Linked DNA regions of Rattus norvegicus. The protein of the gene in region 1 purifies or fractionates together with the protein of each later gene. This does not show direct contact. Links are inferred from orthologs where the notes say so. Each region holds a gene or a part of one and is shown on either strand. Other genes may lie near its edges.

Region 1 (4,297 bases):
TGCTTGTGAACATGAACAGCCAAAAACATTTATTTCCTCATTTACCCATGGCTGAAGGTCAAGCTAACTCATGATCAATACATGACCAGAATTTGAGCACAGGACTGAATGAGCACACCTGCTTGGGAGACAGCATAAGATTCAAGTCTCAGATGTTCACATCCTAGCTGCAGAGTAAGTGGAGTTTAAACCATTTTTTTCTTTAAAATGGGAGTCATATAAGGTGTACAGGCCTATGAGCTTTAAATTCAACGCTAGTCCACGGAGCTTAAAAATTTCGAGTGCTCACACAGTGGTTCTCAAACCTGTTGGTCTCGATCTTTTGAGGGAGGGTTCAAACGACCCTTTCCTCGGGGTCACCTAAGACCACTGGAAGACATATTACAATTCATTATAGTAGCAAAATTGCAGTTATGAAGTAGAACGAAAATAATTTTATGACTTGGGGGCGGTCATCAAAACTTGAGGAATTGCGTTATTGGGAATGTTGAGAACCATTGCATTTACAGGAATAGACGGGGCTGGGGAGCTGGCTCAGAGGTTAGGAGCCTCCTGTCGTGAAATCATGAGGATCCGTGCCGCGCATCTCACACACAATCACAGACACACAAATAAATAGATGAACGTATCTTAATTTTTATAAAAAGCCGGGTATGATGGCACACACCAACTGAGAGGCGGAGGCAGTTGGATCTCTGAGTTTGAGGCCAGCCTGGTCTACATAGCGAGACCAGCTTTCAAAATAATAGTAATAAGAAAATGAAACAAACGACACTAGTATTTATTCTAATAAACAAACCACTACAATTTGTTAAAGATTAACCTTAATTCGGAGAGGTAACAAGCACTATGTGGAACTGGTGGCCATCCAGTTGGATACACTTCAGATGGACAGCGAAGTGCTTCCAGGGGCGGAGAGAAGCCCAGGGCTAGAACTGTCCATTCTTCACCTGGAATACAACAGTCTATCCGGAAGTCCTTTCCAAGATGCATGGAGGTCGGGGAGGCTACACTAAGATGGTTTTCTTTAAGTCGGTCTCTTTATTCCTTTGAACTCAGCAAGCTCAGCCTTAGCAAATCTGCACGCCGAGGGCATTTTAAATTGGTTTTGAGGGATGGCCAAAGGGCCCAGTTCTGAGGACTCAAAGAACGTTGCAATGGGGTTTGCGGCTGGGGGCGATGGGTCTGCGAGGGTGCCATCATCCAGGAGAGAGAGTCGCCAGAGCCGGGAGGCTACTCTAGACCAAGCCCGGACCGGACTTGGTACAGGACTCCAGCCCGCCGGCTGGCTGACTGCGTTACAGAGCTCGGTCTTCGCATTGGGCCTCATTCACCGCCTCGGACTGAGTCCGCTGTCTCCCAGCTCCTGAGTGGCTGGAGGGTCGGGATTAACCTTTCACCTCCGCGCCCCGACCAATCACAGGACGGCTTTCATGCGGCCGCAGGGCGAGCAACCGAGGGGGCGCGGAGCGGCGGCGCGACGCCGGTGGGATTCTCCAAGCCGCTGTGCGCCGTCGCCGCGGGCCGAGCGCGGGCTGCGGGCGAGCAGGGCGCTGCGCAGTCTCCGCAGGCGCGGGCGGGAGGGGTCGGGACGCGGCGCGGTGCGGTGCGGGCGGCTCCGGGCCCAGGTGAATGGAGTAACCTGACAGCGGGAACGAGGCGACGGCGAGCGGCAGGAAATGGCGGCGGCGGCGGCGGCGCCGGGCGGCACCGGGAGGCCTGGGCTGTGACGCGCGCGCCGGAGCGGGGTCCGATGGTTCTGGAAGGCCCGCGGCGCCCAGTGCTGCAGGTGAGGCGGGCTCCCGCTGGGCCGCTTTGTGTCCGGGCCCGGGGAACAGCAATGCACGGCCCGCCTCTTGCGCCAGGCCCGCGCGGGCGCCTGGAGCAGGCCGCGACGCCGAGCCCGGGTAGATGAAGGTCCACGCGGGCCTCTCCACGTCCCAGCCCTGGGAGGAGCGGGCTTTGACAGGTCCCGTTCCGCGTTCGAAGCCCGGGAGAAGACAGGAGGTATCCACGCGGGCCGGCGTCCCGGGAGCGACCCGGGCCTGCCAAATGGCGCTGGACCCCTGGATGTCTCAGAGGATCAGGAGGGGGACAAGGCCTCCGCGAGGTGCGGGCTGGAGCCCTGGGAAGGATTGTTGTGTGTTTATTGGCAGGTGACCAAAGCTGGCCCTAGGGGGTGGGTGGCTCAGGCTGTGTTTCGTGCCCCTCCCCTTTCTGGTCGCTGTGCCTTTAAGGGGCTTTCGTTTGGCCAAATCAGTGTACATTTCAAGTTAACAAACCAAATTGGTGTGGATTGCCTAGCAGAACTGAGCTGCCCTTATGACTTTGCCTGCAGGACAGCGCCAGTGTTCTGAAGACTTGCCCAAATGGATGGATGAATGATTGGGAGTCTGTGATCTATATGGACCTTGCCTTTATGAGTAGAGTTGTGGCTAAAGGGTTAATTACCGATATATGATGACCTAAGTATTATGATGCTCAAGTGTTGAAAGACATCATCTGCTGAAAGAGACTTACTTGGGACTTCCTGAGTTTCCGAATCTTTGCAGTCTTGGTTGTCAGTTTTCTGAGGAGCCTCACAGTGTGCCAGTAGAAAAGAATGCAATTCAAGAGTTAAGAAACTTGGGAAATGTTTTTTCAAACCTGCTGTAAAATAGGATCACTGAGTTGGAAATTCATTGGTATAAACATTGTTTTCTAGGTAAAAATTTTCATTGTAACCAAAGTTTTACTAAAAGGGGAATTCTGGGTAAGGCTTGTAGCAAATGGTAGTTTGGACACTTTTGGAAATAATCTTTTTGATATCTTGGGAGACTGAGTTGTGGATAATCTGTTTCTCTTTTTAGGCTACCTGTGAAATGTGCAGTGTAAGAAGTGCACACATGCTTACGGTTGGAGTGTACTGAACTGTCAGCACCAAGGGCAGCTTTTAATGATCAGTGTGGTAGCTTAAGTCTGTGAATTTACTCGTGGTTCCAAAAGATGTCTCGGTTGGCTTTAACTGGGTGATAAAAGACCTTGCAACTACATTAGTAATGTGGTTGTCTTTATGGCCCTCGCAGGGCACTGCATTTTGGCAGCGTTTCTGGGTAGGAGTTGTATAGCTGGGCTGTTTTGTCTGTTGTTGACCTATCTTGTTTTGGTTTTAGAAGTATTTTGGTGTCGTTCATTTTTGTCTTTCTTGACCCCAGGAAGTTTCTGCCTCAGCCTCTGGGGTACTGGGATTACAGGCCTGACACTCTTGGTTCTGATTGGAGAGTGGTTTTGTGGTGGCATGTATGTCTAGGTGTAACTCTGCTTTCCAGGGGGGATAACCTTTATAGCATTGTGTCACACTATTGCCATATCTTCCTCTTTGCCACTGTCTGATGCTGTGAGCTGGAGATGTCAGTTGAGAGGGTGGGTGTGCTCCTTAAGGATTTCCTCCCTGCAGCCTACATAGGCTGATCTTTGGAGAGAAGGAGGACATTTGGGAACACTCATCAGTCTGTGCCAAGATGTGTCAGGCTCTTTTCACAGAGTCTCATTGAATTCTCAGTGCCTTCATGCAGCGTCCTTCTTCCTGGTTTTACACACGAGGGAAGTGAGACTCTGATGATTGCTTCAGACTGTGAGTCTACCTGAGTCTTGACTGTTTGAATCATGATTTGGTTTCAGAATGCCTGCATGCCTGCTCCTCAAAATGTGCTGTCCAAGTGGATTTTAGGCAGACTGCACTAAGTGGGATCTGTCCTCAGTACAGGTGGCGTGAGGGAAGCTCTGGCCCACTGAGAGAGTCAGGTGTCCTCTGCTTGTCTAAACGTTTGCAGTTGCTTTAAAATGTGACAGGATACTCATTGCAGTTTTAGCCATTAAGTGTACAGTGCAGCACATTCGGGTTTGCAGGTGTCACACGGTCCTCCTCCAGATTTCCCTCATTGGGACACTGATCCACATTCCGCCCTTCACGACTAAGCGACCATTGTTTGCTCTTTTCCTTGTCTTTGAGTTTGGCTGTGCTAGGAGCCTCATGTAAGGGTAGCCATTGAGGATTTGTCCTTTGGTGCTGGTGTACTGACACCTAGCATATGCCTTTGGGCTTCATGTGAGTGTGCATCTTTCTCCTCACTTTGAAAGGCTGAAACTCTCGTATGTACAGATGGTCCTTAGCTTATCATGGTTTGATGACAGTTTTTAGCCTTAAGCTTTGTGAGAAGACCATTTACAGCAGACACTTCTTTAATTGTGAAGTTTTGACTCTTTCCTGTCCCAGTCAGCCATGTGATCATGAGGTGTAGCCAGTGATACCTTACAT
Region 2 (3,523 bases), on another chromosome or scaffold:
GTATAATATACCCATTAAATCTGTTAACTTTATTCCTTAAATCTATAAGTATTGTAATTTGCCTGCTTGCTCTTTCTATAACTGTGCAACCTCTGACCTTTTCATGCACACACATTCACATGTAAGGACAGCATTATACATGGTCCCAAATATGTACAAAATATGGATTTGCGTATATGCACACCACACACACATGAAAATAGAAAAAGAAAAAAATACTGCTTAATCGTTCTAGTCTTTGTGTTGTTATTCTTTACGAGGGATTGTCTATGTTTTGTTATTTTCAAAGTAAGTAATGATGAACAGGCTTTGGTAAAGCATATGAAGACAGCTTAGTTTTGATGAATTCCTCTCTTCCCCACCTAGGTTGTAGGCAGTATGGATGCCCATCCAAGCAGATACTGTGCCACAGTGAGAGTTCAGAGACCCCGACAGGAAATCATCCAGGACTTGGCCTCCATGGTCCGGGAACTGCTCATCCAATTTTACAAGTCAACCCGATTCAAACCTACTCGGATCATCTTTTATCGGGATGGTGTTTCCGAAGGACAGTTTAGACAGGTTGGTTGCCTGGGATTTTTTTTTTTCTTTGTGGGCAAGATACCACTTTGTTTTCTTTGGTTTTCCAACTGTGCTGCCGTACAATGAAAATTCAATCCCCCGCCAGCCTTGTAACCTTGTAGCTCCTTGCCCAGGATGTGTGTTCGAGGATGCTCAGCGGGTTGCCTGGAATATATTTAGGCCATAAGTATACCACACACTAAGTTTATGATGTGATCTCTAGATCTGAAGGTAAACATCTGAAGTTAAAAGTTTGTCAAATCAAAACTGATGCCTCGGTAGATTTTCCTTTTTAAATCTTCCTGTGGATATGTGAGCCTTCATTGCTCTGCTCGTGGCTAAATGACATAATGCAGAAGCATTATGGAGGTGTACGGTACATGATGCTAAGAAGTCATGAGGTGGGGCTGGAGAGGTGGCCTAGCAGTTAAGAGTGCTTGGGGCTCTTGCAGAGGAACTGAGTTCTGTTCCCAGCACCTACATCAGGTGGCTCCCTGCCACCCGCAGCTCCAGGAGCTCTGATGTCCTCTTCTGGCATCCAGGGCACCTGCACGCACGTGCACAAACAAACTCCTGCCCAAACACATATGCATAACTTAAAATGAAATTGATCCTTAAAAACAGAAAATCACGAAGTGAAATCATTATCTTACTTTGGAATTTGTAAAATAAACAACTGGCTTGTTCCGTTCCTGTGCTGCATCTTCTCTAGGTATTATATTATGAGCTCCTGGCAATTCGAGAAGCCTGTATCAGTTTGGAAAAAGACTATCAACCTGGAATAACCTACATTGTCGTTCAGAAGAGACATCATACGCGATTGTTCTGTGCTGATAGAACAGAAAGGGTAATTTTTTTTTCTTTTTTCTATTTTTCGGAGCTGGGGACCGAACCCAGGGCCTTGCGTTTGCTAGGCAAGCGCTCTACCACTGAGCTAAATCCCCAACCCAGAAAGGGTAATTTTATGTCTTGTAATACTGCTCTAAGTCAAGCTCCCTCCCCACCATCAAGCTTCCAATGTCTGCCTCTTCCCTTCCCGTCCTCCCTTTTCTCCCTGTTCCTTCTCTCCCTCCTTTCCTATCTCTTCCCTTCTTCCTCTTTTTCTGTTGCTGGAAATCATGTGCGGACCTCATGGGTGCTAGCTAGGCTGTGTACACTGAGCTCCATACTCAACCTAAGTGGTTTTTCAGTTTAACTGACTTAGTCCTCCTAAAAATTATGCAGTTATTATTACATATAATAGAATATATATATATATCATCCCTGTCATGAAAATGAAGCTGTAATCTCTCGATGGTTACAGAGAAAGCACTATTAGAAGTGGTCCTCAAATCCAAGCTACGTAACTACACAGCATTCTTTTCTATGATTCATTTTTTTATGTATGTTGGTATTTTGCCTGCATGTGTGTATAGTTACAGACAGTTGTGAGCTGCCACATGGGTGCTAGGAATTGATTTTTGTTTTTTTATTTTTTTTTTTTTTGGTTCTTTTTTTTTTTTTTCAGAGCTGGGGACCGAACCCAGGGCCTTGCGCTTCCTAGGCAAGCGCTCTGCCACTGAGCCAAATCCCCAACCCCGGGTGCTAGGAATTGAATCCAGGGCCTCTGGAAGAGCAGCCAGTGCTCCTAACCTCTGAGCCACAACTCTAGCTCTACTACAGAGTTGTAATGGCGATGGTCAGCTGCGGTTAGTAAGGCCGCTCATCCGTGCTTACTTCTGCCCATGCTCCACATGACGCTAACAATGGCTGCGACAGAGTTTAGTTGGAGTGTTTAGATGTAATGCACATTTCAGACCATGGGTTCAATTCCCAAAAATGAAAACAAAAAGGAAGATTTTTATAGCTGAGAAAACAAAGAGGTAAAATACCTTGTCCTAGATAGAGCAGCAGTTCTCAACCTGTTGGTTACCACCACTTTGGCAAACCTCTGTCTCCAAGGCTATTTGCTATTTACACTATAATTCATAGCAGTAGCAAAATTGTTTATGAATAACAACAAAAATAATTTTCTGGTTGGGGGTTACCACAACATGAGGAACTGTATTAAAGGGTTGCAGCAGTAGGAAGGTTGGGACTAACTACCCTAGAGCATAAATCTAGAAACTGGAACTGTCATGAAAAATCCAGTTTCCTCTTTAAATAGGTTACAGCTTCTGTATGGTATGTGTTGCTAATTTATTAGGCTGGGATTTTTTTAAGACTAGATATAATTAAGCTGGGCGTGGTAGCATATACATTTAGTCCTAGCACTCAGGAGGCAGAGGCAGGCGGATCTCTCAGTTCAAGTCTAGCCTGGTCTACAGAACTAGTTTTAGGACAGTCAAGGCTAAACAACAAATCCCTGTCTTGGAAAATCAAATAGTAGTGATGATAAGAATAAATTTTTAAGGGGCTGGGGATTTAGCTCAGTGGTAGAGCGCTTACCTAGGAAGCGCAAGGCCCTGGGTTCGGTCCCCAGCTCCGAAAAAAAGAACCAAAAAAAAAAAAAAAAGAATAAATTTTTAAAAGACGAGGAACTAAGGGATGAACTTAATAGCTACTTCAGTAATATTTCAAGCTCAAAGTAGTGAAATGTGAAGTCGGTTTATGTATTTGAACATTTTTAATGTACTTTCTGATACTTGTTTTTGTCCTGTTGATTAAAATTTGATTCCCCCCCCCACCCTCCGCCAAAAAAAAAAAAAAATGTAGGTGGGAAGAAGCGGCAACATCCCAGCTGGAACCACAGTGGATACAGACATCACTCACCCGTATGAATTCGACTTTTATCTCTGCAGCCATGCTGGAATACAGGTGAGCCTGCTCCAGGGGAATGTTTTTCCTGAGGAGCCCCAGTTCTCCTCAGCAAACAGAGAGTAAATAATACTCTTTTCTGTGTTCCTAGTTATTTTCATGTGTAAGTTTTAGTAAACGAATTTCTTCCTTTTCCTTACTTTAAGAGGGAAATATTTTTATGAAA
Region 3 (3,649 bases), on another chromosome or scaffold:
AGACGTGGCACGTGGAAGCTGAGGCTGTCACTCTGGCTTTTGGAAACAGCTCAAAATTGAGGCAACATCCCGTGTACCACACTCATGTTTAAGGTCTACTCCGTGGCAATACACCTCAAGCTTCCAACATTCCTATGAATCATCAGGTTTCATTAAAGTCATCTTCTGATTTGAACCCACACTTAGAACCCACACTTCCAAAATCCTACAGTAATACTGTTGGTCCTCAGATCATGAGACCTCCACAGACCTTCTGAAGGGGAAGGGCCTGTTCCCAGGTCTATCCTGTCTGCCAAACAAAGACGGAAAGGAAAGAAAGGAACGGATCTGAACTGGCCTAGAAATAATAAAATACAGGGTAGGAGTCCTTTCTCCAGCTCTTGGAAGTTTTACCACTGTTTTCTCTCCTGTATCATCTTTTCCTCTGTCTTACTCCTGAGTTCTTCTGACACTGCCTCAGGAATGGACAATGTCTCAATTTAAACTGCCTTGTGGCAGTCATTCCACTCCTAGGACTTCTATCTTACAGATACACTCACACATCTGTGAAAATATGTATCTTTATATAATACTTAACAGTTTCAATCTTGTTGCAAAGTTTAGACTCTACCTAAATATCCCACAATAGATCAAGCAAATTATGTGGTCATTTCAAGGACTATCTAGGGCTCTACACAAAAGAATAAGGCAGATTTATATATACTAATATATACTATTTTCCAAAATATATGGTTAAACAGAAAAATGGACAATATTGAACAAAGTATATAGAATCTTACATTATTATTATATATGCTCATACATTACATATATACACATATTAATGCACATATATTGTATTATATGTAATACTTGTATAAAACCAATGTGTATATGTATGCACATGTTTGTGTATACGCATATACAATAATATGTAATAATGTAATATTATATATGGTTATTAATATAATTAATAAGTAATAACAGTAATTGATGGGAATATATTACTATAAATGTATTATATATTCATGTCCATATTATAATGAATGTATACACAGAAAAATATCTGAAAATACACTCAAGACTGTTGAAAAAAATTCCTAGTTTTTAATTGTGAATATGGTTTTCCAGTAATAATAAACCAATTTAATCTGCTTCTTCTACGATTAATCTCTCCAAATATGCATCCCGGAACATCCCCTGCAAGCAAGAACACCATCCATCTTGCTCTTACCCCCGCCATTTTAGCCTTGCCTTTTAACTTCTCCTTCTCTACCGGGCTCCTTACCTAAGTCTCATTCTTAAAATCTCTGGAGTCACCTATCTCAGCAAGTGCTAGAATGTGCTCTGTTCTTACAGAGTTCTCCGGCCGACATGTTTCCTCTTTCCCTGTTTAATAAATTGGACTCGGTGCCACCCACAGTCATCACTTACCGGTTGACTCTGCGAGGACACTTATCCGGCTTGATGTCCACCTCGTAATGGTAGACGTCAATCTTAGGAATGTCCACCTCAAAGTAATTGGCCAGAAGCTTGATCGGTTTGCCCACAGTGCCGATGCCAGGCCGGCGAGGGGCCTGGAACACCTGCTGCAGGGGAGGCAGGTAGGCACCTGCAGCTGTGAAGACAAAGAAGCCAGTGAGGACAGAGTCTGGCCATCTTCTAACTGCTGTGATCAGACAAGGCCTCTCAGACCAAGACCGTGGGTCTCGTTCCTCTTTCCTCACCCAGCAGGGGCTTCCACCAGCTTGGACATTCCCAGGCTCACTGGATTTTCCAATGGCTTATTTTACTTTTATTTTTGTTTTAAACCTTTCTTCAGTTAGGAAAATGTGTGTCTACAACTTCAACAAGTAAATGTGTAATGAGTTCAAGAAAAGTAGCTAAGTTCCTAGTTCACAACGCTTTCCTCCATCTCTACTAGATTGAGACACCTGTCTCTACCAGGTAGGTATATGCCAGTTTAAGAACGATCGATTGATTCTGTGCTACTCGAGAAGCTCATTTCACTCATTAGCATCCAGAACACAAAACGGCACCAGAACTTTGGGATGATATCCTCTGTTAATGTGGACAGGTGAACAACCTCAAGAAAGGCAGGCTGGGAAGGGCAGGGCCTGAGACAGGACTGAGACAGGGAATGCTGGCTCTGGGGAGACAGAAAGAAAAGGGTAGAAGGACAGCATCTGCAGGCTAAGAAGAGGCTGCCAGGGCGGGGAGAAGGTCGGATCTGGAGGTCACAAGAGAAAATGCCTTGAATTGGGTAGAAAAAGGAGGGAAGGAAGGGTACAGGTAGGGCAAGGTTGGGGTACAGAGAAAAAACTATCAAGATGCAGAATGAAGAAACGGAAGAAAATAAAAGCTCACATGAAGAAAGCTAAAGGCTCGGGAAGGAGGAAGAACAGTAAGAGGGGAGACACCAGGTCAGAAAGGGAATATAAGACACTTTCCATTCTTCACAAATCTTTCCACACTGAGGGAGGGTCCAGACGGCAGAAAGGATCGATTTCAGAACAGAAGGGGCCCTTGGGGAAGGAAGGGCTAGGATAGGCCAGCATGACTGCTCCTCAGTCTCCCTCTCCTACTCCGTGTGTGTGTGTGTGTGTGTGTGTGTGTGTGTGTGTGTGTGTGTGTGTGTGTGTGTACACTAAGTAGAGCCTTTGTCCTCTGCTACTATTGTTCTTTCCAGCAGAGAGAGGACCAGCATAGGTGGAAGAGGGACAAACGCCCTCTTTACCAGAGCTCTGCTTTCATAGACACACAGGACTGGGGGATGGGACAGGGGTGGGAGGGTATGGAGCATATCTTAGGCAGGGGGGTCAGGAAGAGGTGGGTCATTTGTGGGAGGTGCACACCTTCCAAAGCTGAAGGACTTGACTCCCTCTAAACCACCTGTCAAATCAGCCCCAGCCCCTTTCTGCAGAGGAAAATACCAAGTCCCTCAGAACTCAGCTACAAGGGAACTAATAAACTAGTCCCACCTATCCCAGAAAGGGCTGAATGGATACTGCATACGAGCCCCACTGACAAACACGCACCCCTCTCACATGCAAGCGCTCTAAAGCTTACCGTTCTACATACGCTCTTCACCATCAGTGAGGACTCAGTGTTTCAAAAGAAGGGACCATACTTGACTTAATCACAGCTCAAGCTAGTGCCGGGCATAAAGACAGGTACTTCATATGCTCATATCACATAAATGAACAAACAAACCGATAGGCACACCACAAGAGTGCACAACCACACAACCATGCTTGCAACTGTCCCAAACAAACACAAACTCTGTGCAGAAGCATTTGTCCCTTTTCAGATATATCTTTCCCTTTCCCAAGTTTTAGGATTCCATTCACTTTTTGCCTCCTAGTCTGAATAATCAGTTGAAATTCTGAGAGACATCCCTCTAGAAGAACCAAGGGCAAAGCAGAAATTACAGGGATGAGGTGAGACAGACACTCCCCTTGGAGCTCTCACCATCCCAGAGCTGGACAGCACACCAGTGCCTGAGAGCACGCTCCTGGTCAGGGTTCAGAGAAAATGGAGAACATCTCTCCACTTCATCCCCAAACTAGGGAAGGAGGCAGGGGGAAACAACTACCTCTTTGCCATTCTATCTATCCCCAGGAAAGCGCCACAGCTGTACAGTCTCTCCTCCCCAACCTCGCCCTGCCCC

The links.
Region 2: the proteins of Dicer1 (region 1) and Ago3 purify together in Homo sapiens (affinity purification with mass spectrometry; 3 studies listed by BioGRID and IntAct, with this or other methods). This does not show direct contact. The link is inferred for Rattus norvegicus from reciprocal best matches to the Homo sapiens genes DICER1 and AGO3.
Region 3: the proteins of Dicer1 (region 1) and Ago1 purify together in Homo sapiens (co-immunoprecipitation; 7 studies listed by BioGRID and IntAct, with this or other methods). This does not show direct contact. The link is inferred for Rattus norvegicus from reciprocal best matches to the Homo sapiens genes DICER1 and AGO1.

What each region holds. Positions count from the first base shown.
Region 1 is NC_086024.1:129,454,399-129,458,695, reverse strand, and holds the start of Dicer1 (endoribonuclease Dicer), read left to right. Parts: upstream 1-1,443; 5' UTR 1,444-1,753; coding exon of another isoform or gene 1,754-1,789; intron 1,790-4,297. UniProt on the Homo sapiens protein: Double-stranded RNA (dsRNA) endoribonuclease playing a central role in short dsRNA-mediated post-transcriptional gene silencing.
Region 2 is NC_086023.1:143,929,326-143,932,848, reverse strand, and holds part of Ago3 (protein argonaute-3), read left to right. Parts: intron 1-366; coding exon 367-561; intron 562-1,273; coding exon 1,274-1,408; intron 1,409-3,255; coding exon 3,256-3,357; intron 3,358-3,523.
Region 3 is NC_086023.1:144,035,008-144,038,656, forward strand, and holds part of Ago1 (protein argonaute-1), read right to left. Parts: intron 1,598-3,649; coding exon 1,414-1,597; intron 1-1,413.